Linked DNA regions of Tamandua tetradactyla. The protein of the gene in region 1 interacts with the protein of each later gene in a pairwise test. Links are inferred from orthologs where the notes say so. Each region holds a gene or a part of one and is shown on either strand. Other genes may lie near its edges. The genes, in order: FXR2, ARL6IP1, ZMAT2 and PRAM1.

Evidence for each region.
Region 2: the proteins of FXR2 (region 1) and ARL6IP1 interact in binary tests that used the Homo sapiens proteins (3 or more experiments, as listed by UniProt). The two-hybrid records come from large-scale screens. The link is inferred for Tamandua tetradactyla from reciprocal best matches to the Homo sapiens genes FXR2 and ARL6IP1.
Region 3: the proteins of FXR2 (region 1) and ZMAT2 interact in binary tests that used the Homo sapiens proteins (3 or more experiments, as listed by UniProt). The two-hybrid records come from large-scale screens. The link is inferred for Tamandua tetradactyla from reciprocal best matches to the Homo sapiens genes FXR2 and ZMAT2.
Region 4: the proteins of FXR2 (region 1) and PRAM1 interact in binary tests that used the Homo sapiens proteins (3 or more experiments, as listed by UniProt). The two-hybrid records come from large-scale screens. The link is inferred for Tamandua tetradactyla from reciprocal best matches to the Homo sapiens genes FXR2 and PRAM1.

What each region holds. Positions count from the first base shown.
Region 1 is NC_135332.1:61,463,642-61,471,307, reverse strand, and holds the start of FXR2 (RNA-binding protein FXR2), read left to right. Parts: upstream 1-4,661; 5' UTR 4,662-4,714; coding exon 4,715-4,795; intron 4,796-7,666. UniProt on the Homo sapiens protein: mRNA-binding protein that acts as a regulator of mRNAs translation and/or stability, and which is required for adult hippocampal neurogenesis. Specifically binds to AU-rich elements (AREs) in the 3'-UTR of target mRNAs.
Region 2 is NC_135349.1:40,185,305-40,193,121, forward strand, and holds the start of ARL6IP1 (ADP-ribosylation factor-like protein 6-interacting protein 1), read right to left. Parts: upstream 3,019-7,817; 5' UTR 2,919-3,018; coding exon 2,883-2,918; intron 2,864-2,882; exon of another isoform or gene 2,743-2,863; intron 689-2,742; coding exon 555-688; intron 1-554. UniProt on the Homo sapiens protein: Positively regulates SLC1A1/EAAC1-mediated glutamate transport by increasing its affinity for glutamate in a PKC activity-dependent manner.
Region 3 is NC_135346.1:20,719,656-20,727,051, reverse strand, and holds the start of ZMAT2 (zinc finger matrin-type protein 2), read right to left. Parts: upstream 3,011-7,396; 5' UTR 2,903-3,010; coding exon 2,885-2,902; intron 2,543-2,884; coding exon 2,449-2,542; intron 1,343-2,448; coding exon 1,219-1,342; intron 1-1,218. Other genes in the region: histidine--tRNA ligase, mitochondrial, read right to left, coding at 4,567-4,626, 5,052-5,198, 5,417-5,533, 5,698-5,940, 6,026-6,153, 6,504-6,597, 6,906-7,004, 7,252-7,359. UniProt on the Homo sapiens protein: Involved in pre-mRNA splicing as a component of the spliceosome.
Region 4 is NC_135337.1:84,926,812-84,933,785, forward strand, and holds the start of PRAM1 (PML-RARA-regulated adapter molecule 1), read right to left. Parts: upstream 3,019-6,974; 5' UTR 2,837-3,018; coding exon 2,834-2,836; exon of another isoform or gene 1,207-2,833; coding exon 1-1,206. Other genes in the region: acidic leucine-rich nuclear phosphoprotein 32 family member B-like, read left to right, coding at 4,885-4,926, 6,222-6,378. UniProt on the Homo sapiens protein: May be involved in myeloid differentiation. May be involved in integrin signaling in neutrophils. Binds to PtdIns(4)P.

The DNA.
Region 1 (7,666 bases):
TAGGGAGTGAGATCTTGTTGGTTTGTACAGGTTAGTGAGATGCCCTGATATATCCCAGAGTAATCTGGGCAGAAGATTAAAAAGTATTTGCCAAGTCCCCTTGAGACATTAAACTTCCCCAACTGAGGAAGACCTGATATTTGTGCAGTCATTGGGGACTTTCAAGTTAATGGGCCAGGCCCTTGATCTTGGGGCCTCCCCGTATGAAACTTTTTCCTACAAAGGAGAAACTAAGCCCTACTTATTATTATGCCTAAGAGTCACCCCAGAGAACCTCTTGTTGCTCAGATGTGGCCTTTCTCTCTCTAAGCCAACTACGCAGGCAAATTCACTGTTCTCCCTCCTACATGGGACATGACTCCCCGGGTATAAATCTCCCTGGCAATGTGGGACATGACTCCAGGGGATGAGCCTGGCCCTTGGAATATGGGATTGGGAAACCTTGACCAAAAGGGGGAAGAGAAATGAAACAAAATAAAAGTTTCAGTAGCTGAGAGATTTCAAAGAGAGTTGAGAGATCATTTTGGAATTTATTCTTATGCAGTATATAGATATCTCTCATCAGTTTTTTGTGTGTGTATTGGAGTGGCTAAAAGGAAATACCTGAAACTACTGAACTGAACTCCAACAGCTTTGATTATTGAAGATAATTGTATAATATACAGCGTTTAAGGTCTGACCACATGCTTGTGAAAACCTAGTGACTGACATTCCCTTTATCCAATGTATGGACAGGTAAGAAAATTAAATAAATAAACAGACAAATCAAATAAAAATCAGCAATCACTTTCAGTTGCATTTTCTGTGTTGTGTGTTTCAAACTCAAAACAGCATGCAAATATTCCTACTTCTGGGCATTTCTGTTGTAAGCATTGGCTGTTGCCTTCTCACTGTTGAAGATAAGGAACCAGCCTCTTGCCAACTCCTCCATCATCCCAATCCACCTCCAGCGACATCCTTGGGATGAGGTTCTTTGCCATTGTCTTTAATCAAAAAACAACCAACCGCTTTACCAGGTGTTCCCTGTCTGTCAACTTTACAAAGGCAAACTTATCTGATCAGCTTCATCAGAGAGGACTCCTGCTTGGAGGCAAGCAATGGCTCCAAGTATTCTAGGATCTGGGGAGAAAGACGTCAGGGGGAAGAGGGGAGTAGCAACAATCAGTATGTAAACTTACATTTAATTCCCATTTTTATCCACCTTTCTATCTTCCTCCCACTATTTTTATTTATTTAGAAACCCCAAAGCAAGTGGGGCATCTGTTATACACACTTTGTACTCCAGCTAGTAATCTTACTGAAATACAAGTCTGCTGAAAATCCTGTAATGGCACCCACCGTTTTCAGTGGAAAGTCCAAACATCGAAATACGTTTCAAGTCCTCTAAGCTCTGCCTAAGCCAACCCTTCCAGCCATGTTTCCTCTCCAAGTCTGTTCCAGCCATGTTAGACTATTTTTAGCACCTCAAGTCTAGGCTTTCTATACATGCCGTTCCCCTGTCTGAAATGCTGTTCCCTTTTTTCCCACTCCCATCCTTTACGTGAATAAACAATGACCAGAGCAGATGAAGGAGAGGAAAAGTCAAACCTGAGAAGATTGTTGGTGCCTGTGGCTTGGAAGTTGGTGACAGTGCCTGTCTTGGTTTGCTGGATCTGCTGTAACAAAGCACCACAGACTAACTGGCTTAAACAACAGCCATTTATTTATCACAGTCCCTGAGGCTAGAAGTCTGAAATCAAGGTGTCAGCAAGGCCATGCTTCTTGGAGGTGAATCCATTCCATGCCTCTCTGTTGCCTTCTGGTGCCGGCAATCCATGGTGTTCCTTGGCTTGTGGAGACATTATTCAATCTCTGCCTCCTCCACATGGCCATTTCCCTGTCTATACATCTGTCTCTCTGCCTCCAAATTTCCTCTCCTTATAAGGAACCCAGGTCTCCAGTCATACTGACTTCAGTCTAACTAGTAACATCTTTAGACATCTTATTTACAAATAAGTTCAGAGTCACAGAACCAGAGGTTAGGACTTGAACATGTCGTTTTGGGAGACACAATTCAATTCCTAACAGTGCTATTTTGAAAAAAATTCAGTCCTTTCCTACGCTTAAGAGATCAAACCCATACTCTTCAGTCTAGCGTTCTTGGTAATCTGCCCTACTTAATTTCCTTAACTCTCTGCACTCATCAGAATCACTGCTGGTTGTCTTCTGACCATTTCTGTCATTCTAATTACTGCTGCTCCTTCTCAGTCACTCTTGGAGGCACCTTTTTTTTTTTTTTGACAGCTTTTTAAATACTGGTGTAGTTCAGAGTTCCATCAGGACCTTAGTTATTTCTAAACCTTTTATTTGGAGATTCAATTTACTCCTCGGACTTACTCCTCAGACTTAACTATGCTGATGATTTCCACAAGCACCTTTCTAACCCAGACTTCTCCCAGATCACTCACCTGTAAGACATTTGTTCCTTCACTCAGGAACTGTGAGCTGCTGGGTAGACAGTGATGGGGACAAACAGACATGGACCCTGGTCTCCAACATCACAGAGCTTATGGTGTGATAGTGGAAGAAAGACACTGAGTAAATTATTATTACATCCGTGATCAGGGCCACAAAGGAGTAAAAGATGCTTTGGCAGTGTAAGATGGGGGACTAATAAAATTAGCATACCAGAAGGGTAAGAAAATTATATTTAAACTGGGACCCAAAAGAGAAATTTGTTGAGACAAGGGAGTATCTCCACCTGAATGGCCCACAGGCCCTCATAAAGAAAGAATACAAAACCAAACTCACATCACCATTCACTCTGTAATCCAAGTTAGAAATCTAGGAATTGTCCTGTGTTCCTCCCACTACTTCATTGCCTCCTGACCTAACCCCACCCCACACTCTATTACCAATTCCTGTGATCCTACTTCAAATTAAATAGGCTCAAATTCAAGTTTTATCTATTTTGCCCATAACCGTAGTTCAGACAGGTCCTTAGCTTCTTTTTTCACAGGTCTCACTGTCTTCAGGACCACCCTTACTCTTCAATCTATCCTCTAAAATTGTAAGATGCAAATCTTATCACATCAAGGGGTAGCAACCACTTAAATTCTTTCACTGGCTCTCCATTATTGATAAAATAAAAGTTATTCTCCTTAACTTGTCTTACAAGTCCTTGACAGTCTAGCTTCCTGCAACTCCTTCCTTGGTGCTAAATGCTAGATGAAGTAGATATGGTTCCGCAAAGGACGTGTTCTTTCTGCTCTTTGCATCGGCTTTGCCTCTTTGTAGCACCTCTGTTTGTTCTTCCCTGGCCATTCTTAAGTCCTGCTAACCATTGTCACCTTGGGGTTCCCTCAATACCTAGTCCCTATCTCTATCACATCTTAATCGCACTCTGTGCATTTATTTATTTAAATAAACTCCTTGAGCTCAGGGACCACATCTTGTCTTTGGATCCCAAGCACTTAGCTCAGTGATTGGAACATAGTGGGGGGGAGGGGGCTAAATAAATGTTTGCTAAATAGTTACATGCGCACACATGATTCTAATTTCTGTACTGTTTTACTCGATTTCAACTACATTTCTTATCTGTCTTAGTTCAGGGATCCTAAGTTTCTCCCCTGCTACCCTCACTCGATGACAATTTCTCCTATTTTGAATTTCCTCAGCATTTAGATTTCTGAGTTTGTGCCAATCTAAATTGCATTTCGCCATCGCCTTGCAACTATTCTTTGACCTTTCATTACATACATGATCAGGATCATCTTGTAATATCCTCAAGGCAAGAACCGTAACTCAAATCTCCTAAACACAAAGTTAGAGGAGCTTGGAGAGACATTCAATACAAGTCTATGGGCGATAAATCTCGGCGCACGCGCGCGGGACACCTCTTTGCCTTTCGACACTACTTTTTTTTTTTTTTTTCCTTTGGAGCGTGCGCACCAAGAAAGACAAAGGTGGGGAAAGTGACCAAGCAGTCGTTCCGGCGCATGCCTATCCCTAACTTGTCCAAGCCTGGTATGGCTCCTAGTGGTGAAGTGGGTGTGGTATGACCAGGAGCCGCAGAAGTCCAATCCCACGGAGTGAGAGCGGTCCCTCCCTCCCTATGATTGGTCAGCGGTCAGTGTTGTGGGGCGGGGAAAGGAAGAGCTCGGCGGGGTGGAGTGATGGGGTGGCGAAGAAAGAGAGCTAATCTCGCTCTGCGCAAGCGCATGTAAACGACCAGGAGGGGGCGTGAGAGAGGGAAGGAGAGTGTGGAAGCCCCCATGCGCTGGCGAGCGCGAGCTGGGGCGCTAGCCTTGGCGCCTGCGCCGTGGCCCGCCGGGCTCTGCGCGCGGCGGGCGGGTGCCGGGTGCGCCTGCGCAGTAGACGGCGGCGGCAGGGGGAGGTGGAGGCCGTGGAGCGGCAGAGGCAGCAGCGGGTCCCGGGACCGAGGCAGCAGCGGGGGCGGCGGCGGGCGGAAGCTGAGGTGACGAAGGCAGCGGCGGCGGCGGCCGTTTCCCTCACGGTGGCGGAGACCAAGGCGGCGGCGGCGGACGGGGAGCGGCCCGGCCCCGGCCCCCTGCTCGTTGGCTGTGGCAGGGCCGCCGTGGGGCCGGCCCGGCTCCCGCCCCCCGCGGCTCCCCCTCCGGCTCCTCCTCCGGGGAGACGCCGGGGGCCCGGCCCGGCCCGGACTCAGACCGCTGCTGCAGCCGCCGCCGGGGGAGTCGGAGGCGGTGGCAGCGCCATGGGCGGCCTGGCTTCTGGGGGGGATGTGGAGTCGGGACTGCCAGTGGAGGTGCGCGGCTCCAACGGGGCCTTCTACAAGGTGAGGCGGCGCGCCGATCGGGTACACCGGCCCCTGGCCCTCTCCCAGAGCCGGAAAGAGTGGGGCGGGATGGAGCCTCTCCAGCGAAGTCCTGACCTCTAAGAGCATTAGACAAGCCTCACTCCCACCCTCAGCCTTCCTGGGGAGACCTCTGGGAGTTAACCCTCTTTCCTATTTTGGATCCCTCTGGTACACCTGCTTTTTGCTCGCGCCTCAGAGGAAATGAACGTCAGGGCATTATTGTGCCTAAATCTGTGCCCTCCGCCACCCCTTTCCCCTAGAAGAGACCCCCATTTAACCAGTTTCTTATTGACTTTTCCTGTTTCGTAGTGCAAAGATATACCTTAGACCTTAATCATATCATTCCCACAGTCCAAGCACATAGAGAATTCTCCCCCCCGTTAGCCGTCTTGTGGAAAGCCATTCGTTCATCTTCCTTAGAGAGACTTCTGCCCACTGACTCGGGGAAAATCATCCCACTTTCATCGTTCATTCCTGTTCGCAGTCCAAGGAGAAACGGTCAAAAGCCATTTAAACTATTTGGCGTCTTTGACCTTAGGAACTCTGGGTTATTTCAGGGTCAAGTTGCCTCCCAACCATAAAGTGGCATCTTTTTAGTAGTCTTTTGCCCCGCCTCTTTACCCCAAGGCCAGCTGGTCTACCATTCCACCTAGGGGATGGGCTTTTGTTGTCACTTTGACCTCGGATACATTTAGATCATTTATATGCTTTCTCCATTTTGAGGAATGTATAAGTTTCATATATCATAATATCTAAAAGGGGATCTCACGTGGACCTCTTCTGTTTATCTTCTTAAGGATTTTCACTTCTAGAAGACTTCTTGCCAACTCCCAATTTGGGAATCTGCTAGTAACCTTTTTTGGAAGGAGGAAGGGAGTATCTTTCAAAGACCCTTGCTTATTTCAGCCTTCTCCTCACCAAGGATTTGGTTCCTTAGAATTCCTTTTAGACCATCTATCCCTTATCTCCTCTGAATTCAATTTCTAGGACATCCCCCTCACCCCCCCCCCATTTAGATTAGGCCAGAGGAAGATCCTTCTTGCCTCCTAAGGATATTTCTTTGTCACTGTTGTTATTCTGAACCTCTTTGGGCCTTATTCCTGGAATTGTCACAGAGACTTTCCTGATTCCTGTCTCATTCTTCACTCTCATCCTGAGAAGCTGGGTAAAAGATTTTTTAACATCACTGGTGAGAAGAGCCTCATTTCCTTAACATCTCCTCAAGCCTTTTCTTCCACAGTAGACCCCTCCACCTTTATGCCCTTGGAAATAATTTCTTCCCTATGAAATCATAGCTTACTTTATCTGGAAAGGGTCATATATTTGCACTTGGAGTGGATGGTTTCTATCCCAAGTTCAGTTGATGAGTTCAGTGTATTCATTTTTTTTTTTACCCACTAACCATATCTACTTTAGTCTCCACACCAGATTTCTGTACCTGTCTCTGTCTGTTTGTCTTAACTTCCCTCTCAGTTCAAGCCTCTAACTTATTGTAATATTTTTATTCTATATACTTTTGTAATCATCAGGAACCATCTTATTGCATGTCTAGCTTGAAGGAAGTTCTTGATTGATCTCTTTTGTTATTTTTTCTACATACTTTTATAACTTGGAACTTCTTCTTGAAGTTTGCCCCCAGAACATTTATTTTCTCCGGGAAAAAAAGTCTTAATTCCTTTATAGTTCTGATAGAGTGTATTTGTTTCATATTCTTTCCCCTGAACTTACATTACCTTTACTGAAATACCCTTCTGCATAAGATGTTATCCCCATTTTCCAAGTATCTTGTCCTTCATCTGGGCCCCCCCTCAAATTCTGAGTTGCAAGAAGAGTGATTGTTAAATTGAGTCTGAGATCAAGATATGATGTTTACTTTTGTTCATGGAAGCATGGGAGCCAAGCACAGCTGGGAAAGATTGGTATCCTGTTCAAATTAACTGTATGAGATGGTTGGTAAGGGAGAGAGTTCTCTTTTCACATAGTAAGTGTCCAACACAGAGTCTTCCTATGAATCTTTCCCTTTTCTCCTGTGAGCTATGGCAATGACAGACCTTTGATTGAGGGACAGAATACTTTGGTTCAAAGAGTAGAGTTTGGAATTGAGTCGAAAGCCATGTAATGTGGATTTTGTGTTCTAGCCACTTTAACATTTTCTGTTCCATTACAGTTAAAAACAACAACAAATCCCTAAATTCAGGCTAATCTTTCCTCAGCTTTCATTGTCATATAGACACTTAGCCAGACTGACCTTGCTACTGATTTAATATTCATGACTCAGCAGACTTTGGTGTGGATCAGAGAGTATTTACACTGTTTTTAAAACTATAAATTTTGGAAGATCCCTTTCTCCTCTCTCAGAATGGGTCCTCTTCCAAGGTGGAAATGCAAATGTTAGATCTGAGATCTAAGTTTTCTTGTAGCTACCCCACCAACCCTTTCTTTTCTGTCAGAACTTAATGTATTTTATTCTTTAAGTTGTACTCTCCTAAATGAGAGAATGTACCCTTCTGGGCACATTCATTAAACTTTTCAGACCCTGCCTGGATATATATATTTATCATCCCATTCTTAGTATATAATCAGTAACTCACAATATTATCACATAGTTGTACATTCATCACCATGATCATTTCTTAGAACATCTGCATCAGTTCAGAAAAAGAAATAAAAAGAAAACAGAAAAAAACGTCATACATACCATACCCCTTACCCCTCCCTCTCATTGATTGCTAGTGTTTCCATCTACCCAATATATTTTAGCCTTTATTTCCCCTAATTTTTTTTAATTTTTAAAAAACATAACAACATACAAACATGAACATTCTTACCATGTAATCATTCCATTCTTGA
Region 2 (7,817 bases), on another chromosome or scaffold:
TCCTACCAACAATGTACAAGTATTCCAATTTTTCCACAACCTTGCCAACACCTGTTACTTTCCATTCTTTTTTTTTAAGAAGTATGTAGCTGAAGATTTTCAACTATTCATTTAGACCACTGGTTCGCGAAGATATTATTTATCTTTCTCATGCTAATTAAGAGGCTTCATGACATGAAATCATCACAGGCACAGCTAATGGAGTACGTGCTTGTATTTTAAAATCTGTCTTGTTAATGTTTTAAAATTTGTCTTAATTTCTAATACTGTAAACACAAAAGCTCTGTGGGGTCTTCAATAATTTTTAAGAGTGTAAAGGGTTTTAAGGCCAAACAGTTTGAGAGGAAACACTACTTTATTCAACTATGTGAAGTTACCAAGTTTACATAAGCATTACAAATGTTGAAAACTCGAAAAACTGCTCAAAGAAAAGGTATTCTTTACAGATTATACATTACAAAAGATTTAAGGGACTTCCATAAATGGAGGCCACATATTACCTGAGCCCTTATTAATAACAACCACTAAGCAGAGTAATTTAATAGCCCACTTACAGAAACACCAAAGAAACTGCGCCCATGATGGCAGGTGGAAACCAGGCTCTTTCCCATCGGAGGACTTTATCAGCCATCAGCATCACTTCTCCCCATCCTTGCAGCTGCTCTTCCAGGCTTGCAGTCTCTGCAGCCTACATATGGTCAACATTGAAAGAGATCATTTTGCCACTCTCAGCATTTCTGGGGTTCCTAAAGTTCAATTCCTCTTAGGTACCAAATGTATAAAATACCTGTGTTTTTTGTTTTTTTGGGGGGGTGGTGGTGCATGGTTCGGGAATTGAACCCAGATCTCCTGCATGGAAGGCAACCATTCTGCCACTGAACTACTAAAATAACTGTTTTTACCAAGTCACTATCTCAATAGGTTAGTTTTCGAAAATCTTCACAATCTTAGTATCACAGAAGCAAATCAATGGGAGAAGAAATGATCATTTAAGGCCACAGAACAAGTCCAAGCACTGGGCTAAAACTTCACATGTACGACATAACATAATCCCCACAGAGCCTTTGGAGGCAGGGATAATTATACCTATTTTACAATTAAAGAAAGTGAGCTCAGAATGGCTAAGACCAAAGTCAAGCACTACCAAGTGGCACACCAAGGGTTTTCATTTGATTAGATCACGTTAAGTTTGTTCCTTTCACTTGGTTAGACCTGATCTTTGTTTTTGTCATTTCATTGATTTAAAACTTACTTCTAAATCCATTAGCAAAGCCTCCCTGAACAGCATTCAATTTTTAAATAGCTCTTTGTGTAATGGAGTCACTTAGATGTTGGTGTCATTTCACAATCAGGTAAAACTACTCTCACAAAATTTGTGGCATTTAAGCTCAATCTATTTCTTCAAGACAGTGTTTCGTATTCACTTATCAGGACAATTGGGTAGGCTTCCAATTTCTCTGAAAATCTGACAATCAGCTGAAAAGACACCTCTAGGATGGCAAAAAGAAAAAGATGGAACAGGAAATCTATGTGTCCGTTTACAATGTCATCACTGGAAAATAAGCAAATGTCAGAGGCTCATGTTATTTATTCTTAATAACGATGTTCTCTGTGCCTCACTGAAGAAGTAGGAACCTCAATACTTTTAACTTTATACCCCATGCTTAATACTAGGTTAAATAAATATTATGTGCCAGAACAGTGCTAAGTATTTAATCTTCCCAACAATTCTTAAAGGGTGTTCCCACTATCTCCATTTTACAGATGAGGAAATTGAATATACAGAGGTTTACAGATATGAACCAACCCAGGAAATCCAGGACCAAAGGCTCTCCTGAAAAGTTATAATGCTTTGCTAGTTGGGGGTGGGGGTGGGGGTGGGGGTGGGAGTTACACGAAGCCAGGAGCTCTAAACCAGGATCTCTACTAGCAGAGTAGTACAACTTAAGGAGAGTTGTGTGAAAAGCTTCTTTGTGTCACCTTTAAAAGAAGCCAGCTAGGGACTAGCCATAGACAAGCTGTGTGGGGGTGAAAAACATGCATTAATCAAAATATCCTGTAAAGTTACTTAATTCGTTAGCACCTGGGCCCTGCGGAATTCAAAACCCCAAATTAAATTATTTGGTTCCTCTTTGCATTGAGGCTGGGGTGTGGCCAGCCCTTTCCTGGAGACGAGGATGAGGGCTGACGGGGAGGAGGGATGCAAGGATTTCTCTCCTATTTTCGCCTAGATCGTGCACTTAAATATACTTCTATGATATGACCCTACTGCAGTACCCTCAAATTCCTGCTTATTCTAAAGTTGTCCGCTGTCACCCTGCGAATCCCAGACTTTCAAATTCCAGGCAAACGTTAGGCCCTCCATGGTCCTTCCTAGTTCGCTGGACCTCGCAGCCTCCCGGCCGTTTGAAGTTTTGCCAGCTTTAACAGAAATTTCGGCAGCAGCCCTTTGACTGCATCCCCGCCCGGACCACAGGTGAGAAAGGATGAATAAACAATCCGGATGAAGATCAAAGAAGGGGAAACCCAGATATGGCTGAGGCCTTAGGCTGCAAAGCATTCATCAGGCCCCTCGAGGCCCTTCGCCCCGGGCTGCACCCCAGCTTTTTCTCACGCACCCGCCCCCTTCTCCCATTTCCTCCCTATCCTCCATTCGCGGTGACTAATCACGCGCCCTCCTCGCCCCACCGCGCACTTTCCCCCGAGGATGTAAGGGATCGACCTCCGTCACCCAATAACTACCCAAGAAGCCCAAAGGGAGGCGTCGTCGGCTGCGCCTGGGAACCCCGAGAGGAGGGCCGGAACCGCCGCCGGTGACAGAAACGATTCCGCAATGGCCACCCCCTAGGGCCGAACGACGATCGGAGGTCGCCGGAACTCACCAGCAGGTTGGTGCTGCGATTATCTCCCTCCGCCATCGTCCGCGATTGCCGCGTGAGCGAACGCTAGTCTGCCTACAGCCTACGCTTAGCACGACGCCTTCACGGCTACCCCAACGCTAGGGTACGCGGCGCAGGTCGTTTATATAGGCCTGCCGCCTTTCCCGACAGCCCCCGCGAAGCTCGTTCCTCATTGGGCGGATTGAGCTCAAACTTAAGGGTAGCCGGACCAACCGTTGCCCAGCGCATGGCTTGAAATAGAGGCTAAAAGAGACAGAGGCCGAGCCGAGCTGGGAACACGGAATGACCAATCAGCGCCCAGGGGGGGTGCGCCTCCGGTCCCGGGGTTTCGCGAGCGGTTGAACGGCCGCCGCCCGGGCAGAGTCTACCATCCTCGGTACCTTGGCCGCCCGGTCAGCTCCTGGGACCTCTTCCGTTAGGCTTCAAAGTGGCTAAGGAGGCTCTCTGGAAAATTTAGGGTTCAGTAGGCTGCATAGTGTCAGGCGGAGGGCGGACGAAGGATGTGGCGTTTAACTTCATTGTGGTTAGGGAAGCCGGCTGGGACCGTCCTCCCCGACCAGGCCAGTGCCCCTTGCCCTCCTTTGTGCCCCTCCTTTGTGCCTTCCTTCTAATCCCTGCCCGGGCCGCCTTTGCTAGCATTTTAGCCCAGATTTGTGACTCTGAGACTCGTGCCCACCTCATGAGGTTTTGAAGACATGTGAAAAGCACTGTTTGGATTTTGCTGCAATTTCTCTCTCCTACCGGATCAGGAATAAGTCTTTCGCTCGGGAGGAAGGGAAGACCTTGGCATTTTTTTTCAGAGAACGTGTGAAAAATGCCTTGACTTAAAAAGTTGGCTCCTTTACATCGGGTCTTTGGGGAAAGTTTGTAGGGCATTTCACTTACTCCTTAGGACTACTACTCCTGTGTTGGCAGGACCTTCCTTACTTAGGTGATCATGATAAGGAATGATGTAAACCCTTTCGTAAGCAGTTAAACTAGATGAACTATGTTGAGACAGTTTTAAGTATTTTCTACCCAGGATTTCAAAATGCATTTATGCTTTGATTTTCATTATTCAATAATAATAATAAAAAAATCATGCCAAATATTGACCTGGCCAGATGTGTTTCAGGTAAGTTATCCATAGTTTTTTAACTTCCAGCTTTTTACATTATAGTCCTCTATTTTATACCATCAAATTTAAATTTGCTTTAAAAACATCAAACAACTACCCTGTTCTTAAGAGTTCTAAAGCATTTGGATAAGTAAAAACACTTGAGAAAAAAGCCTTTGCAAAAGGGGACTCTCCAGTAAGGTGCAACTTTGAAGAATGTTGGGGGGGGGGATGGAAATAGGTGTGTAGGTAAGGGATGCAGGCAGTTGATATAGAGACCCCATTCTGGTTTGTTTTTTAAGCTGTGGAATTTAAGGCGCAGATCCTCCTCCACCTCTTCAAAGAAATAAAGGATTATAGGATCCAAAGAACCAGCAGAGATTCCACATAAGTGAATATGTTCAGCACTGAGTGCACAATCTTTCTGTACTCCTATTAATATCCTCTTCCAAAGGAGAGGGCATGGCATTCTCATTAGGCTTTAAAAACTGACATTTCTACGTTAGGAAATCAGTTTTTGCTACAGAATGATTCTGGTTTTCACTGAAGTTACTTGTGTACAGCTTAAGAAGGAAGACTTTAAACAGCTGGTGAAACTGAGGTACGTTTAAAAAAAAACAGAAGAGACTCAGGAGTACAGTTCTCCCAAGGAGTATTTTTGTTATTCAAAGAATGTGTTCTCAGATCCCATTTCAAATTTATAGCCTAGGAGCACTGCTATATAGTCTTTCACTATATTTCCAACTGGCCTAACTGAAAACACCTACCCTATAAAAATACAGTTTTTGAGCTTTGTGTACTACAAAGACAGGATGTGATCTTTTGAAATGTGTGAGATGACTGAGCAGTTACCATGAATCCTCCTAACATAAGCAACAAATGCAAACCTAAAAAGACAAGCTGGACATTTTATCTTTATTGGTTTTACACCCCAGTGATTATACCTTTCTTCTTTTATGCCAATAATGATCTGCTAAAGTTCTGTTGTAAAGTATTGCTAAACATATGCTTAATAAAATTCGGCCTTAAAATTTTTTTGGCCTTAAATTTAAGAACTTTCCCACTGAAGTGAAATTTCCACCTCTGTTCAACACTACTATAGAGCTGAGGGTAAAAAATTGCTTTGAGAATTAAACTTAATTAACTAGGGATAGTCATGGCAAAAAAATAAATAAAAGGCTAGCCATGCTTCACAACCATTTTCTGTAATCTTTCACCAATAAATTCAGATCTTAAATAAAAAGCTACATCTTTTGAGACTGAACCTTTATTTTTTTTTTTGAAAAACAGGTATTTCATACAATCTTTGCCAGGTTAATGCAAATATGCACAAAGTAGGCATGTATTTTTGTTTTCCAAAAGATGCATTACGAGCATTTTCAGGAAGCTGGTGTAATTTAAATTCAACTTTTAATCTTAAAATACAATCACAAAATTATATCCATCAGGAGGCATTACAACCTTTTGTACAGAGAAGCCACTTTTATTTATACAATTTTACTGGACAAGGAAGATTCAGTCCAACTCAATTTGCTTTTAGAGTAAGGATAAAAAGTAAATTAACAAGTGAAATATGATGGTGTGCCACTGACATCACACAAAGGTGGAAATATAAGGGAAGTTTAAACCAGAACAGTAACTGACGCAAGAATTTTAAACAGGAGCTGAAACTTGACTTGTCAGGAAAAAGAAAAAAAATATATTTAATCAGCCTGTTTTGAAAGAAAAACATCCTACAAGTTTGCATTTCAGAACATGCAATTCCTTAAGTTTACCATCTTCAAAAGTCTAATTATATGGTGTTTTTACATTAGCACAAGAATAGTAATTCCAGTCTATCCTCATGGAAAGTAAGAGATCCTAAATGGTTCATGTTGTACAACTAACCCTTGAACATATGAATGTTCTCTCAGTTGGAGTCAATTTGTCCTTTTGTCAGTAAGGGCTGGTGATATTTTACCCAGGCCTAAAAAAAGCAGAAAAATTGCAACAAACCCTCAGAGTTTCATAATACAGTGTATTCCCCGCTTCTGAACATTTGGAAAACTTCGTGATGTTAACTAGCTTTTCCCCATAGGAAGACCCTTTCTAATACAAACCAAATATTGAAAACAAAATTTACCTTCTTTAAGTGACCCTAACATTAATATATTCTATCCCCTTGATTTAAGGAGTAAAAAGTCTTAGTTCCAAATTCCTAGCATTTTACAAGTCCAACAAGGTATAGAATTGCAAGACATTGGTCTTCATACTTAATCTAAATTTTATGTAAAGATACTTAAATGGGATAACAGTAAAAACATTCACTGATCTTTGATGTATATGAATAGGACTAACAGGCTAATTATCTGTGCTTTAATACGAAAAGGAAGAAAGGAAAAGGAACCAGCTCCGTTGATTTTAGTACTGCCCAAACAAGTAAGCCCCCAGAGTAATTACAAAAATGTGGAGAAAAATAGGCCAGGAAGACTTTACGATTTAAAGTACTGCCTATAATACCCCAGATTAAAAAGGATCTAAGATTGCACATCAACTCTAATATTTGGCTGTACTTGCATTGCCCTGCTCAACATTTTTTAATGGCTCTTTCCTTAAATTTTACACATGGGAACAACCACAAAAAAACAAAACTAAAAACAATGCAGATAAACACCAAACACTGGACAATATTAAAACTATCAACTAAGCTTAGGTAATAGAGACAAGTGTTAAGGGCAGATGGAAGTTATTCTTTGTATTACAAACCCTAACACTGAACCTGGGGTTTGGGCCCTAAAAAAGCAATTTAGGGATCAAGAGCCTGATTATCAGTTCTCATACAAGAAGTCTCACATATTTCAAAAACGACTCACAAGTATCAGACAGAAAAGAATCTTAATCTCATGACCAGAAATGGTGAGACACATAAGACATACCAAAGAAAAGAGTAAAACAGAAATATAGACAGCTCCATTAGCTATTAAGCCTCCACAGCTCTGTAGAGAAATCATTTAAAATTAGGCAATTCTAGCAAATCAAAGACAACAAAACACTAAAGATAAATTTCAATTTCCAAGGGTACTTTCAATAGAAAAGAGGTTGTTTGACGGTTATTCTGTACCCCCTGAATCTGAGAGAGAGAGAGAAGAGGATCCCTGGTTTTCCACAGGTATTTTGTGTGTCTTCAAAAAGTTATGACTTCATAACTACAGCACTCTAACTTTACATTATTTTACGATAATCCCTAAATATAGCTGTCTTCTCAATCTGCTCTATCACCAGGGCCTTCTACTTTTGATTAAATTTCTAACGAGTTCTCTTACAACTGTCCAGAACAGCAAGGCCCTTTGCCCCTTGCAGAATGACATTCCAGAAGAAACCAAACTGTACAAAGGGGCTTTGTTCAGAGTGCTGAACAAAGAATAAGCTTTGAAGTCATTAATTCCTCATACCTGCCCCAAATGTACTACATATGCCACAATTCTCTGAGGGACCATTTACTCATAGGCAAGAAAATTCACCTATTTCATTTATCTTCTTTACCAAAAGAGGAAGCATTTCTAAATACTACTTATAGGGACAAACTAGTGTGAACTGGTTTTATCATTGTGATAAAAAGTTTTCCTTGTGACAAAAAGAATGTTGCTAAAAAGAATGTTTCATATCCAGAGAGCAGAGGTAATCAAGTGATGAATGCAATAGCTCCCACAGCCTCGGGAAAGAAAGCAATGTGCAAAATACAATATGGCATTTTTATTCCAGCTAGGTTGTTTTGTGAAAATATATTTCAAAATTAACAAAATAAAATTTGATGAGAAAGGTTCCTTAACTTGCTGTTAGAC
Region 3 (7,396 bases), on another chromosome or scaffold:
AAATCTGGTTATAAGAATCGTATGGTTTTCAACCAAGAAACTCATATTTTTAGATACAATATTCCCAATCATTTCAGAAGAAGGCATTTTTCATTTCCATAAAGCCTTAGCACTAGGAAGAGTATGGTAGCCAACCCCTAAGATGACCCCCACAACAAGCCCCACCTCCTGGTATTTATATGCTTGCCTAGTCTCCTCCTACACTGTACCAGCACTGATCTGCATGAAAAAAAGAATATGGCAAAAGTAACAGTGTATCATACCTAAGGGTAGGTTATGAAACACTGGTTTCTGTCTTAGTTTGCCTGTCTATCCACCTTTCCCTCCCAGATCACTTGCTCTAAGGAAGCCAGTTGTCTTGTTGTGGGCAGTCCTAAGCAGAGGCCCATGGGGCAAAGAACTGAGGCCTCTGTTCAACAGCCATATGAGAGCTAAGAAGCAGATTCTCCAGCACTACTCAAGCCTCAGATGACTAGAGCCCTCGCCAACACCTTGAATGCAATTTTGTAAGAGACCCTGAGCCAGAAGAAGCTAGGACAAAACCACTCTCAGATTCCTTTTGCTACCAAAATTGTGAGCTATTTGTGATTTTTAACTACTAAGTTTTGGGGCAATTTGTTACATAGCAATAGATAACTAATAAAGAGAGCAATAACAACAGCAAGTTTACTAAGCAGCTCAGAGAGCTGTCATTCATTGCCATCTGTGTTTTCCTCCTGCTAGAAAACCTAACAAACTGCATAGAGCAGCAGTGGTGGGCAAAGGGGTGAAAAGCTCTTGTGGGGCCCTTCTTCTAAAGGTTACAGTCTTGGTCTGCAAGGCAATCCAGAACAACTACAGCCTTTACAGCCTGTCTGAAATCTCAAACCCCTTTCTTCAGCACCAACAGCACCTAGGCTCCGTTCTAGTTCTACCTAATTTTTCCCTAGAAAAATTTTTTCAGTAGTCCTTTCCTTCATCTTTATCTCTGGCAGGAGAATAAATAATCCCCTTTAAAGTATTAAGGAATTACAGTGCTAATATGCAAAAATCTGTGGAGTGATCCCTCCTGGAAACACTATTATGCTAACTTGAATTGAGACTTTGGGGAACTAAAAGAAAAGCAAATAGAAGACCAAAATTACAGATACTATTGTTATACTCAGCACTTCCTAAAACCAACATAGACTATTTGTTAGTCTCACTCTTGGTGGCAGAGAAAGATGAAAAGCCACTCACCCTCCCATCTCAGATTGCGGGGTGGTCTTGGTAATGACAATTGTCTTCCCAAGCTTGGATTCCAGATCCACCTTGTAGTCCCTGTGCCGCAGAAGCTCCCGCTTGACTGGCTGCACTGGTTTTCCTGAAACATAATGGGAAAAGGAGTCCCCTCAGTATTACAGTTCCTCCATCAGAAAGGGAAAAAAATACATGAGATGCAAAATTCAGAGTCCATTCTCATGTATGTTTGTTTTTTGATTCCTGAAGCAAGGGACACAAAGGTCACTTGAAGCAGAAGCTAGGGAGACTCTAAACACAGGAATAAATGAAAAGCAATCCCCAATTCTCTATAGCTTTTCTCTACTTTAAAGCTAGCAAGTTTAAAAGCAATTTTTTTTTCCTATCCATTGATTAGCTGAATTGAGGGGATGAGCTCTGAATTTGTACATGAAGCAACGTTTTAAGAAAAAAAAGCAAAGACACACAGTAATATTGTCGGGCAGATACTCTATGTGTAGCACAGAAAGGAACCTTCTGAGAGGTGGGTCAAATTTAATAAAGAGGGAAGGAATTAACAATTTGGAGGCATCTGCTACGTACCAAGTACTGCTACACAACTTAATATAAAAAACAAAAGGATTAGGGTGTGCAAAGTGGTGTGGAAGAAAGGTGGAAGAAGGACATACAAGTTTGAAAACAGATGAAAAAAGTAAGACATTTCTTTCCATAAAGTGGGATTCTCTAGGAGAGGAACAGTAACTCCTTGAGGTTGTACAAGGTACAGAGAAAAAGCACTAACCACTAGCTGAAACTATCACACGGTTCCCTGATGAGTACTGCTTTTCTCAGATCATATGGGGGGGGTCTTGATTGGGCCAGGAATGTTCTCCTTCCCCTGAAGTAATCTCAAAGGAAAGACGGGGTAGACACCAGTAATGCACGGCAGCAAAACGCAAATACTCCACTCCACTTCTCTATCACTATTAAGAATTCCAATTTCTTCTCTGTACATCAGGGAAGCACTGAATGAATCAAGCAACGGGAGGGCAGGAGTGGTGAAAAGAACTTCAAAACCACCTCGGTCCACCTCCTCGCACACGAAGAAACCGAGGACCACAAAAGGTTACTCGAAGTGCAGGGCAGCGTATGCTCTGCAAAAGATTACACAGTGTAGGGCAGCGTATTTCAACTCCCCACCGGAATCCCTCTAATTATTTATCCTTAGCCCTTGACAGAGCAGGCACCTACCATCCTTCTTTTCTCTCTCTTCCGTGAGCCTCTTCTCTGCGAGCTTCTCGTATTCATCTTTGTCCCACTTTCGGCGAAAGTCCAAGTTTTTTGTCTGTAAGGGGAGAAAAGCACTTACAGTCCGTCGCTAACCATGCCCGGACCCCTAGAGAAAATGAGGGAATCGCGTCCTAGGCGCCAAGACGTTCCCAGGACCCTCCAATACCGAAAGCCTCTCTGAATCCCATCAAGAGGCTGGGATGGTCCCAGGACCCTGAACCCAGAGACCTCCGCGATTCCACCGACCCTGTGCCCAGGTCTTACGGGGAGTTCTCGCACCCGGATCCTGAGGTTGCAAGAAGGTATCTGGCAGCCAGTCCCGTGCAGGAGTCTACCTCTATTCCGCTATGAGAAGTAGCCCCCAACCCCCCCATAATCCTTCTCATACAACACCTACCCCGCTGCCCGACGCCATCTTCGCCGCGAAGTGAACGGGAAGCCGGAAAATGCCGTAAAAAGCGTCCCTGAACCGTAAAGCGAGATGACCCTCCAATAAGCTTAGAGAATCCTGTTCTAAACGAACTAAGGACGGGGAGGGCTTCTAAACAGGGTAGTTGGCTCCGCCTTTGCTTCAAGAGGATAGCGCAAGCGCAAGTGGAATGTGAAGTAACACGGAAGTAAGGGCGCTTTCTAACCTGTTTGATCCCTTGCTTTAAAAACAAGGATTGATGGGCTGATAGATTTAGTTTACCTCGTCTGCTTCACAAGTGAGGAAACTTAGGTTCGGAAACAGTGCCCTCTGACCTACCCTAATCTACTTTGAGTGTATGGCCAAGAGTTTCTAAACCTTTAAGGCTGAAGCGCTGTTACAGGGGCTCTAGAAGCTCCATTCACTGCATGCACTAGGGATATAATTCTAAGCTACACTGAAGCGTTTGCAAGAGCTGTAGCCTTTTCAACACACATGCATGGAAAATGCTTTTTGGCACTTTGGCCCTTTTCCTGAAGCAATGCTATCTCACCCTTTGGTTGACTCATTTTTCTTTCACCTGGAGAACATTATTGTTATCCAATCAGTAGGGCACGATGTAATTAATATGACTGGGCTTACGAAGGCCAGTTAACAGCCACGTTTCTAGTATGAAGCACTCTGGCAGATGGCTCACTAGATTGATTTTTAGCGATAAAAATCTCCAAGTTATGATGGGGATGTGAGGTGGATGTGAGGTGCAGGTGGGGAATGTGGCTCCTCTCTTCAGTGAACACATAAGTATCACCCCAGGGAAGTTACTCCCACCCAGCTCACAATTAGAATTCTCCAATGTATACTCAAGTGTTTTCTATGGCCTATGCAAACCAATTCTTTTATAACAAATCACCCAAACTACTACATTAAATATTTTATTTAACATATCATCCAACCACCTCTAGAATATCCACCTCCATGAGGGCATGGAATAGTCAGAGTAGTGATTGTGGCACAGTAAATAAAAATGGCAAAAGATGAGACCTCAATCTTGCCAAGTCACCTATTAAGTTCAACATTGAACTCATTGAACAGATAGCCCATATTTCTACTGTTAATAGCAGAAGGGCTAAAGAGATGCCAGATCAACCTGGGCATGACCATGCCCTTGGGATAGCATCTCTGATCTCAAATGAGAAAGCAGCCATTGCCCCTCCTTGCTGTCTCCCAAAAACTCCATGGGCCAGGCCATTGGCTAGTTATAAACAAATTCCCCAGACTCTGGTTCAGAGGCTACAGTGGAAGGGTAAGATTTCGATGGCTCAGAATTCTCTCAGCCTGTGGTGTCTCTCTCATACCTTTCTTACAGCAACCATCTCAGCACCTCTTGGTGGAACTGAGTGGCACTTTAAATCTGCCATCTACCTTGCAGCTAGAACATATCTCTCACATACCAGCCAGTTGCATTCATGCAGAATAGCTGCTCACACTAGTGGCTTGAAGCCACAGGACCCAGGAGTCCTCGGGGCCTTCTACAGTTCTGTACCCAGGAAGAACTGAAAAGGCAGAAGGAACTTGTCACTCGTCTTGGCTGGCAGTTGTGAAGTCTTTCAGGAACTCATTGGTAGATGAACCTTTTCTACAAAGAGCAGCAGATGGCAGTTAAGAAAAGATCAAGACTCAGATAGTCGCTTCTGAATTTCAGTCACAAGATCTTCCCGTTTAATGGCCACCTGAAATATAAGAGAACCCTCATGTGACAAACTAGAAAGTGACACCCATTCCTTAGCCACTGCTTTTCCAGATTCATTTTACTGTGCATCTGCTCTTACTACTTAGGAAACCAATGGGGAATAATGTGGATTTCAGGCTGACCTAGAGAATATTCCCTCAAGATTAAAGAGATTCAAATTCAATCAATGGATATATGTCTATTTTGTTATTAGTCTCAAAACACCCATTCAGATTTCATTTGTCCTTCTTCTGCCCACCCAGCTAATACTCATTGGCTGCAGTAGTTGCTTGGAGTGGGGTCTTCCTTCATCTCCACCCCTACTAACTTTGGAGATATTTCTTCAGCCAGAAGACCTTTATTTCTTAAAGAATCTGTTAAAGTAGTAACACTTGATCCCTTCTATTTCTGTCTTCCTCCACTCACCTCCTCCCTGCTGGCGACTGAGCGGAGCTTGATGACTCCCTCCTTCAGTTCTTGCTCACCAATAATGACCACGAGTGGAATGCTCATGGTCTCACAGTAGTGCAGCTGGGTTAGCAGTTTAGGGTTGTTCTTGTATAGAAGTTCAGCCTGAAAAGGGTCAAGACAGGGGTTTTACAAGTGAACACAGCACACAACCCCTAGAAGCAAGTATTTCCAAGGAAGCAACAAATAAGTGGCTGGCCTTCCTACCCTCAGAAGCCATTCTAGTGAAGACTAAAATGGCCTTCAGTTCCACCCTAGGCATTAAGGTAGAAATAGGCCTGGAACCCAAATTCCACACATACCCAAATGTTGCTCTACCATACCTTGATCCCAGCATCCCATAGCTCTGCAATTAACTTCAGTCGTTCTTGAAGAAAGTTCTTCTGTGGTGTGGCCACAAATACTTGGGTCTCTGTGGTCCGTACCGTCTCACCAAATGCCTGATAAAGAGAGAGAAGATTGTAAAACTAAACAGCAACAAAAAAATTCCTTCAAACCAATAACTCCAAAAGATGAAAAGAATCATCAGAAAAACAGCCCCACTAAACCTTCAGTAACATGAGGGTTTCTCGGCCTCCAACCCCAGCCCCTACCTAAGGCCTACCTTCATTCTCTGCTCCACAATGGCAAAGATCCGCTCTACCCCAATACTGAGCCCTACACATGGCACCTTGTGGCCCTTGGAGTCGAACAGGCCCACCAGCCCGTCATAGCGACCACCAGCAGCCACACTGCCCATGGTCATAGACTCTTCCCCAGCCTGAGCTGGGGTCTGTAGCAGTACTGCTTCATATATCACTCCTGTGTAGTAGTCTAGGCCCCGAACCAGGCTTAGGTCAAAGGAGATCTGTGGAGATGAGGTTACAGTCAGTCCCAGACAGAATGCTAAGTGTGCTAGAGCTCAGCAGGGGGAACCACTCCCTTCAGTTTACCTTCTCAGCGATTCCAAATAGAGTCAGGTATTCAAAAAGCAGCTTCAGGTCCCTCAGGCCTTCTAGCACCTGTTTGTTTTGGGATAGTCTGGGATCCTGGAACAGCTGTTCTACAAGAGACTCCCCACCTAGGGAAAAGTAGATAGAAATAAACCTGTGTCTTTTACCCAGCATTCAGACACAGCATTCATCCAAGCCATCTCTAATGTGCTCCAGTCAGTCCTCCTCATTTTCATAAAAAAAAAAAAAAAAAAAAAAAAAAGGATTCCTAATCTCATATGACCAGACTCTCCTCTTCTGCCTCTACCTTTGCCATCTGAAGACACAAAGTGCTTACAAAAAGTAAAAGGGGAATTAAATTTAGATGAGGTTCTGGAGCTTAGGACCATCTCCAAAAAGGAGCAATTTCAGAGGACTAAGTTATACACATCACCCTCACCCTGGTTCTACCACACAGCTCTAAAACTCTAGTTCTTACCATGTCGTTGGATATAGTCCCCAATTTGATCAGCCACCTCAGAAGCCAGGCCCTTTTTTGCCACCATCTCATGTCTCACCGCTTTCCAAGATATCTGCATAAACACCCAAATAGTTGCTCAGTAAGATCTTGCTTACTCTAACTGGAAAAAGACATCTCACTTTCATTTAGTCTGTATGTATGAGTAACATGCTACTTTCAGCAAACTCAGAGGCAATTTAGAAAATCTAGTCACAGTGCCCACTGCACAGAACTCAAGTCATGCTTCAGGATGTCTTCTGACCGCCCTCCCAGAAATAGCTCACATCCAGTCCCTATCTCCTTCTTTTTCTCTAGCAATATAGATTTGGGGACAGGGCAGAGACCCAAATGGTGTCTTCTGAAGCATATCTTATTTGCTACCTTGTCTAGTTTGTCCATTGAGGAGCAGATGGCCCGGAACTTGCTTTCAGGAACACCACAGACAGCAAACATCCCATCCACAATCCGTCGGTGATTGACCTGTGAACTCAATGAAAGTAACCCAAGTGCCCATCAATGCCCTTTCCCTCAAAACAATGGCAGTCCCTATTTTTCTGACTCATAAAAAGGACAGAAAGGAAACCTCACAGGAAAAGTATATAAGAAATGCAACAGCTATACTAAGAAAGTCCTAGAGCTGCCTGATAAAAGGCTGGGGTCATCAATGTTTTGAGACTAGCAGACCAGATCCAGACTTCTCCCCCTCAGTGTTCAGTGTTGGCCTCACCTTAATGAGAAACTCCCCCAGCTGCAACCCATTTAGGATTTCACACATGATTTTCAAACACTCTGCATCAGGGATCATAGGGTCAAATTGACCAGCAATGTCAAAATCCTACAGCAAAGAAAATGAAAAGGTTAAAAAAAAAAAA
Region 4 (6,974 bases), on another chromosome or scaffold:
CTTCTTGTGAAGGAGTGGTTTGAACTCAAGCTGTTGGGACCTCTTGGGAAATACACTGAACTCAGGCTCTGAGGATGTCCTGGTAAGGTCACCGAACTCGGGCTGCAGGAGCCTCTTGGGGAAGTCACTCTGGTGAGGCTGTAGGACCTTTTTGGGAAATGCACTGAACCCGGGTTTTGAGGATGGGGGGTGGAGCTCAGTGGACTCGGGCTTCGAGGGCATTGAGGGGACCTCACAGGAGTTGGGCTGTGTCAGGGACTTCTTAGGGGGCTTTCTGGGAGGCTCATTGATCTCAGGCTGTGGGGGCTTCTTGGGAAAAGTACTAAAGTCAGGCAGTGAGGGCTTTGGAGTGGCTTCGCTGGCCTCAGGCAGCCGGAACTTCCTGGGGAATGGACTGAACTTAGGTTCTGTGGGTGGTCTGGTGGAGTCGTTGAGCTCCAGCTGTGGGGGCTTCTGGGGAAATGTGCTGGGCTCCGGCTGTGGGGGCTTCTGGGGAAATGTGCTGGGCTCCGGCTGTGGGGGCTTCTGGGGAAATGTGCTGGGCTCCGGCTGTGGGGGCTTCTGGGGAAATGTGCTGGGCTCCGGCTGTGGGGGCTTCTGGGGAAATGTGCTGGGCTCCGGCTGTGGGGGCTTCTGGGGAAGTGTGCTGGGCTCCGGCTGTGGGGGCTTCTGGGGAAGTATGCTGGGCTCCGGCTGTGGGGGCTTCTGGAGAAATGTGCTGGGCTCCGGCTGTGGGGGCTTATGGGGAAATGTGCTGGGCTCCGGCTGTGGGGGCTTATGGGGAAATGTGCTGGACTCCGGCTGTGGGGGCTTCTGGGGAAACGTGCTGGGCTCTGGGGGCTTCTGAGGAACCTCACTAAACTCGGGCTGTGGGGGTTTCTTGGGAAATGGACTGGCCTCAAACTGTGGGAACTTCTTGGAGAGTTCACGGGAGTCGGGTTTGGAGGGCTTCCTGGGAAGATCAGTGAACTCAGATTGCAGGGGCTTCCTGGGGAAGGCACCAAACTCGGGCTGCAAGGGTTTCTTGGGGACTGCACCAAACTCAGGTGGTGAGAGTTTCCTGGGGTGCTCGCTTGACTCAGGCTGTGGAAACTTCTTTGGGAGTTTGTTGAACTCGGGCTTTAGAGATTTCCTGGGGGGTTCACTGGACTCGGGCTGAGAGGCCTGGAACTTTGCTTGGAGGCTCCGGAAGCCCTGATGGCTCTCCTGCAGGACAGGGAGCTAGTCAGGCTGGGACTCCTGTACATCGAGGGTCACTGAGAGGCAGATGTGGGAATATACATGCGTGTGCACACACACATCCACCCTTAGACTTGCTCCTCTTCCCTGACCTTGGCCTCATCGCTTTTGGCTGAGGTTTCCCACAGTTTCATCTCCAGGCTCCTGTAAACTACATCCCCCCAGTTTCCCCTACCCTCCCCACTCTGGTGTCCAATACATCCCAACCTCTCCATCGGTGCTGAGCTACCCATATGCCTCCCAACACTGCTGCTCCCTCAGTCCTTCCTTTTGTCGGATAACCTCTGAGCTCCCCTGACTGCCTCATTCTTCTGCACCCTAAATCCCCAACCCCTTCTAACTTTATTTGGAATCCAACCGCTTCTCACCTCGGCCACTGCCATCATCCCAGGATCATCCTAACAGCATCCTTCCCGGTCTCCTAGCCCCTGGCTCCCACCCTCCCTCTCACCATCCCTGCTCAGTCCCCCCCACAGCAGCCAGAGGAAGCCCCTAGTTGGTTCGTGCCTCTGCTCAGAATCCTGCAAGGGGTCCTCATCTCCCCGCAGTAAAAGCCCAGATTTCATAAAGGTCTCTCCCAACCCCAATCTCAGTTCCCCCTCCTGCCTCCTTGTTGGTCTTTGAACATTTGAGCACTTCCCCATCCCATCTCAGGGTCTCTGCACTTGACCTTCCTCTCTCCTGGGACATAACTTCCCCACCTTGTGCTTCTCTCCTCTTCCTCCTTCATCTCTCTGCTCCAAATGTCCTTATTAGATGTGCCATCCTCAGTTACCCTACTTTAAATCAATTCCCTCTTCTCAGCACTCCACACACTGTTTCTTTTACACGCACATGCACATGCGCACACATACTGGTAGACAGACTGACACATAGGCATCAACTGTGGTACACTGAGTATGTATGTCCCAGGCACCCTCGCAACCAGCCCCGTGAGCTTGATCATGGATGCCAAGAGACAGGCAGATGCACAAGTAGGCCAGGTCCTCTCTGACCTACAAGTTCTCCCACACGTGGCTTCGCCTGGGGTCAGCGAGTTAGGGGGAAGAGGACAGAAATGTGCCGGAAGGACCCACCAGGCCTTTGCTCCTCTGTGCATTTTTCCCCATCCAGAGGATGGATTAGGGTCACCCCTTGGAAAGACTGCCTTTTAAGGCTACTTCCCTACTGGGTGGGTCAAGGCAAGGACTCTGAGGTGACCATACAGTCAGATAAGTCACGGTCAGTGGGTCATGACCCTGGGGAAGGGCAGGTGGGGGTGGTGGGAGCCTGACCCACTTTGACTCCACAGAGGAAGCTTATCTGCCTGCTATCAGTTCATGTTGGCCTGGGGGCAGGGGAGTGGCTTCAGACTGTCCCATCTGGACCATAGGCCCTTTGGAACCCGAGCTGTCCTGGGGGAGGGGGCGGGGCGGGTGTCTCCACTGCTCCGTGCCTCTGGGCCTTTTCATGAGGCATCCCTGTTTGCTGAACTTCGTTCCCAGTTCTCTTTTGCCTGTCCTGTCTTGGACAATCCAATTTCCATGTGCTCCACCCCTTACCTCTGGCAGGTGCAGAGATCTCCTAGGGATTGGGAACTTGGGGACTCACTCACCATGGCTGCAAGTAGGTGATGGGCGATGGGGTGAGTGGGACCCAAGCTGAGTCTGCTGTCTTCAGGAAGTTAACTGTGGCTTCTGCTTCACCGGCCAGCACACAGGGTGGGGGCTGCCGGTGGAGTGGGGCGGGCAGAGGAGGAAGGAAAGGGGGTGGGGACTGCCCTAGCCAGTTGCCAGATACTGCTGGTTGCTTCTAACCCCCTTGAGCTCCCGTCCCACTTGCTACTGACCCTGAGCTTCGGGCCTCAACTGAGTCGCAAGTTTCTTGACTGTCTGCTATCCCCCTCCCCATACCCTGCTTGTCCTGGATTTGGGGATGGCAGGGAGAACTGGATGCCAGACGTGATGGCTTCCTGCCCCCCAAGGGGGACCTCCGAAAGGACCTGGTCAGAGCTGGGGCTTGGGAGGCCGCTGGGGAGGCTGGGAGATCCAAGGGGGGGGGGGGGGTCTGATGGGGAGGCCCCATCTGTTTGCCCTTCTTGCTTCATCTGCCTGCCTCATTTCAACACTTCCCCGTGGGCCAATTCCCAGATCTGAGCTGGACTTCCCTGTTATAGGAACTGCCTGTGAGGCCCCTCAGCAGATGAGCCAGCCGCAGCGGGGCAGGGCTGGCACGCGGGACAGAGGGCTGGCAGACTCGGTGGTGGGTGGGTGGTGTCAAATTCCTGACCCTGGGGAGGGGTTTCTGAGGACACCCCATCACTCCAAAAGACAAGAAGATTGGGAGGAAAACTGAGACAGAGTGGGAGGTCAGCAAAGAAGTGATGGCAGTGATTAAGACCAGTACTATTAGAGAATGGAGGCTGGCTTTCTTTTTTGTCTCCTTGTATTTTGAAGTCGTTGCCTTTTTAATCAGAGATACGGTATTCCAAGCACAAGCCTCTTTACAAAGCCTTTTCTTTTCGGCTTGGGCAGCAGTTGAGGAGTCGTGGATGCTAAGGGCATTTCAGCATGTGATTGTGAACACTGCATCCAAACAGCCCAGCACAACTCTGACTCCCGGGCCCAAGAGTGCTGGGGTGGGGGTGGGGTGCCTCCCAGCAAGGGCTTTCTTGAGCTTATTTAAACATGGAGGCAGGGAAGGTGGGTTGGTTGTCTTGAGGAACTTGCATTCTGAGCAGGAGCCCTTCAACTGCTTGCTCTGCAGAAGGGAAAACAAATGTGCCTTTTTGCTTGGAAATCTGCTTTAAAAGCACAGCTTCGGGATTCTGGAGCCTCTGCACTGCATGGGGTGACCCATGAAGGCAGGGAAGACGAAGTCTGGGCCCTCTTGGGATCTGTCGCACCAGCTAGCACAGGCTGATCATAAGAGGACAGCATATAGTGTTTGGTGAGAGAGGGAATGAATGAAAGAACAAGCAATTAGTAGTTGAGAGCATACATTAGGTGCTCAGTGAAGGTAAGCTGGGGGACAGAATGATAGCTGGCGACTTCCCAGGCTCCCAGCCCAGCCACTCCTGGGCATTTCCAGCTCCAAACTCATAGGGATGGCGTCCCTCAAGGCCCACTCCCTGCTTCCAGACAGGACTCCCTGGGGCAAGTCCCTGTGTTGCCTGCAGGGGCCCCAGCAGGTGGGGGTGGCTGCGCAGGCTCCCCCTCACCTCCTCTTTGTGTGGACAGCAGTTCCCGCAAGAACAAGCGGCTCCATTTGGAGCTGTGTTCCCGGAAGTCCAGAAAAGTGAGCGCAGGCTGAGCTCTGCCTTGGGAAGTGGAGGTTGTGTGGGGCATGGGTTCGGAACTCTGCGGGCTGGGGAGGGGTCTGGGTATTGGGGTGCCTGGGATCTGAGCCCTCGGTGTGAGAAGGTCCACTGTGCATAAGAGCTGAAGCCGGCATGACAGATCCCCGCGCAGGAGCCCCAGCACCTGCTGGGCTTGAGGCTAGTGGGGGTGGGTGGAGGTCGGACCAAGTTCAGGAGCGGGGTCTGGGGATGTGTGCCCAGTAGCTTCCACCTTCTCCCTTCCAGCCCGGGGTGAAGGTAACCGAGCCACCACCCACAGGTGACGGAGCTGGTCCTGGACACCTGCTCAGTGAGGCACACGAATCAACATGAACCTGCTTCTCTGGCCAGCCTTCCCATGCATGGAGCAGGTTGGTGTATGCAGGGATCGGGACTGCACTCGCCTCTCATTCATGTTCTCCAGGGCGCCCCTTCCTGGACTCAGCCTTTGGGACATCCTGGAGTTGGTGGTGGGATGTGTCTCTCCATAGGGTCATGGCTTGGCCAGAGGAAGGGCAAGGGCTGCAGGAGCCCAGAAGGGAGTGCTGGGGTCAGGAAAGGAAGGCTTCCCATAGAAGCATACAAAGGCAGGAGTGAGTGAGGATGGGGTGAAGGTTGGATGTAGTTTTTGGAGTGGATGGGGTGGTTGCTGGAGTCCAGGTCATGACCCAGCTCCCAAGGCAGAGTTCCAGCTGGCTCCAAGGGCAGTGGGGAGCTGGGAACTCATAGTCCCGAGGGAAGGGCAGCTCTGTGTACACAGGTGCAGGGGAGGGTCCTGGACCAAGGTGTTGACTCTGGGTCTCCCTGGAAAGGCACAGACAGGTTATTTGGGAAGTAGCATTACCCGGATTTTTGGGTGCCTGAAAGAGGGGCCTGATGCAGGGATCAGGGTTGGAGGCCTGGTGCACAAGAAACACAGAGCCCATCCCCTGGAGATGACGAAGAACCTGGGGCTAGAACCGGGGGAACAAAAATCCCAGGCCCGTGGGAGTCCGGGAGAGGGGAAGGAGCCCCACAGGCCTTTCTGCCTGAGAGTCAGCAGGGCTACATGTGCCCAGCTTCTGGGGTGGTGCCCAGTGGGTGAGTTTTGCCTGACATGGAAGTGGACCTGGCTGGTCAGGGCTTACTTAGTTAATTTCCCCTTCTGGCCTCACCCCATTGGTCAAATGGGCCCTTGAGCCTGTTTCCCTTCCTCTCCCAGTTCTTGGGAGGATCCCAGGCAGGATGGGTTGGTTGGGTGAGTGAGGGATGTGGCTAACTAACTCAGCAGACATATCCCAACCCCTCTCCGTCTCTCCCAGACACCACCCCCCTTTTTTAACCCTTACAAGGACCAAGTTTTCAGGACTAGGGAGGGTTGATCTTCCTCAAGGTAGCACAGTCATGGCTCCAAAGCCTCTGGCTGAGAAGGCAGGAGCTCAGAATCAGAAGGTCTTATGGCCCATTCAGCCCCAAAGCTGGGGTTGAGTGACAACTGCTTTAGAAGGGACCTGGTGGTGTGGGCAGAATGGACACCTGGCCTGACACACCTGAATCTCAGAGGCAGCTATCACAGCCCTGAAGGCCTGGGTGAGGCCTTCAGAGTGGAGCGGGATGGCAGGCAGCCCCCATGACCAGGTAGGCCATGTCCTAAGGGCACCTGGATCCCCTGTCCTGCTCCTCACAGAAATGGAGGGGCCTGTGGAGCCTGGACCTGTTCAACCGCGAGGTAATGCTGCAGCTGCTGCCCCTGCTCGTCTACCTGGTTGGCTTCGATGCTGGGGACTGTGAGGTGCCCAACTCTGAGGCTGAGGCTGACACATTAGCAGAGGACAGGCAGTACGGTAAGGGGCAGACAAGAAGAGTTTGGAAGGGTGGGGCTGCGGATCCAGCCCAGGGATGACAGGTGTCTTGTTAGCTATAGACACAGAAGCTGAAGACAAGAATAGACAACTCAGGAGGCCTCAGAAAATGAGGTCAGGGGAAAGGAAAGGGATTGGATGAGGTGGGGAGAGGCTGGGGAGGTGCTCAGGTCCTTGCTCAGGGGTGTCTCTGCTCCTTAGGAGGATGAGATGAAGAGGACATAGAAGGAGATGGTTAGTGTGGTCCTGGGAGTGGGTGGGTGAGGAGACTCAACCAGGGGCCTTGTGGTCTACTAGATCCGTGTCTTCATTTGGAGGGCCACGGGGAGCCAATGGATGGTACAAGACAGGGGAGGGGTGCAACTGGATTTATCCTTTACAGAAGAGACCCCTGTGTTTCCAGGGGCTCTCAGGCTGGAGAAGGGCATGAGGGGTAGCTGTGGGTACCTGAAGAGGGGGAGTTCAGGCCCAGGCTGGGGGGCCATGGGGGCTGGTGAGAAGGGGATGGATGGGAACAAGATAGAGGCAGAGGTAAAACCACCATCCAGCAGGTACACAGGACTTCCATGCTCAGGAGC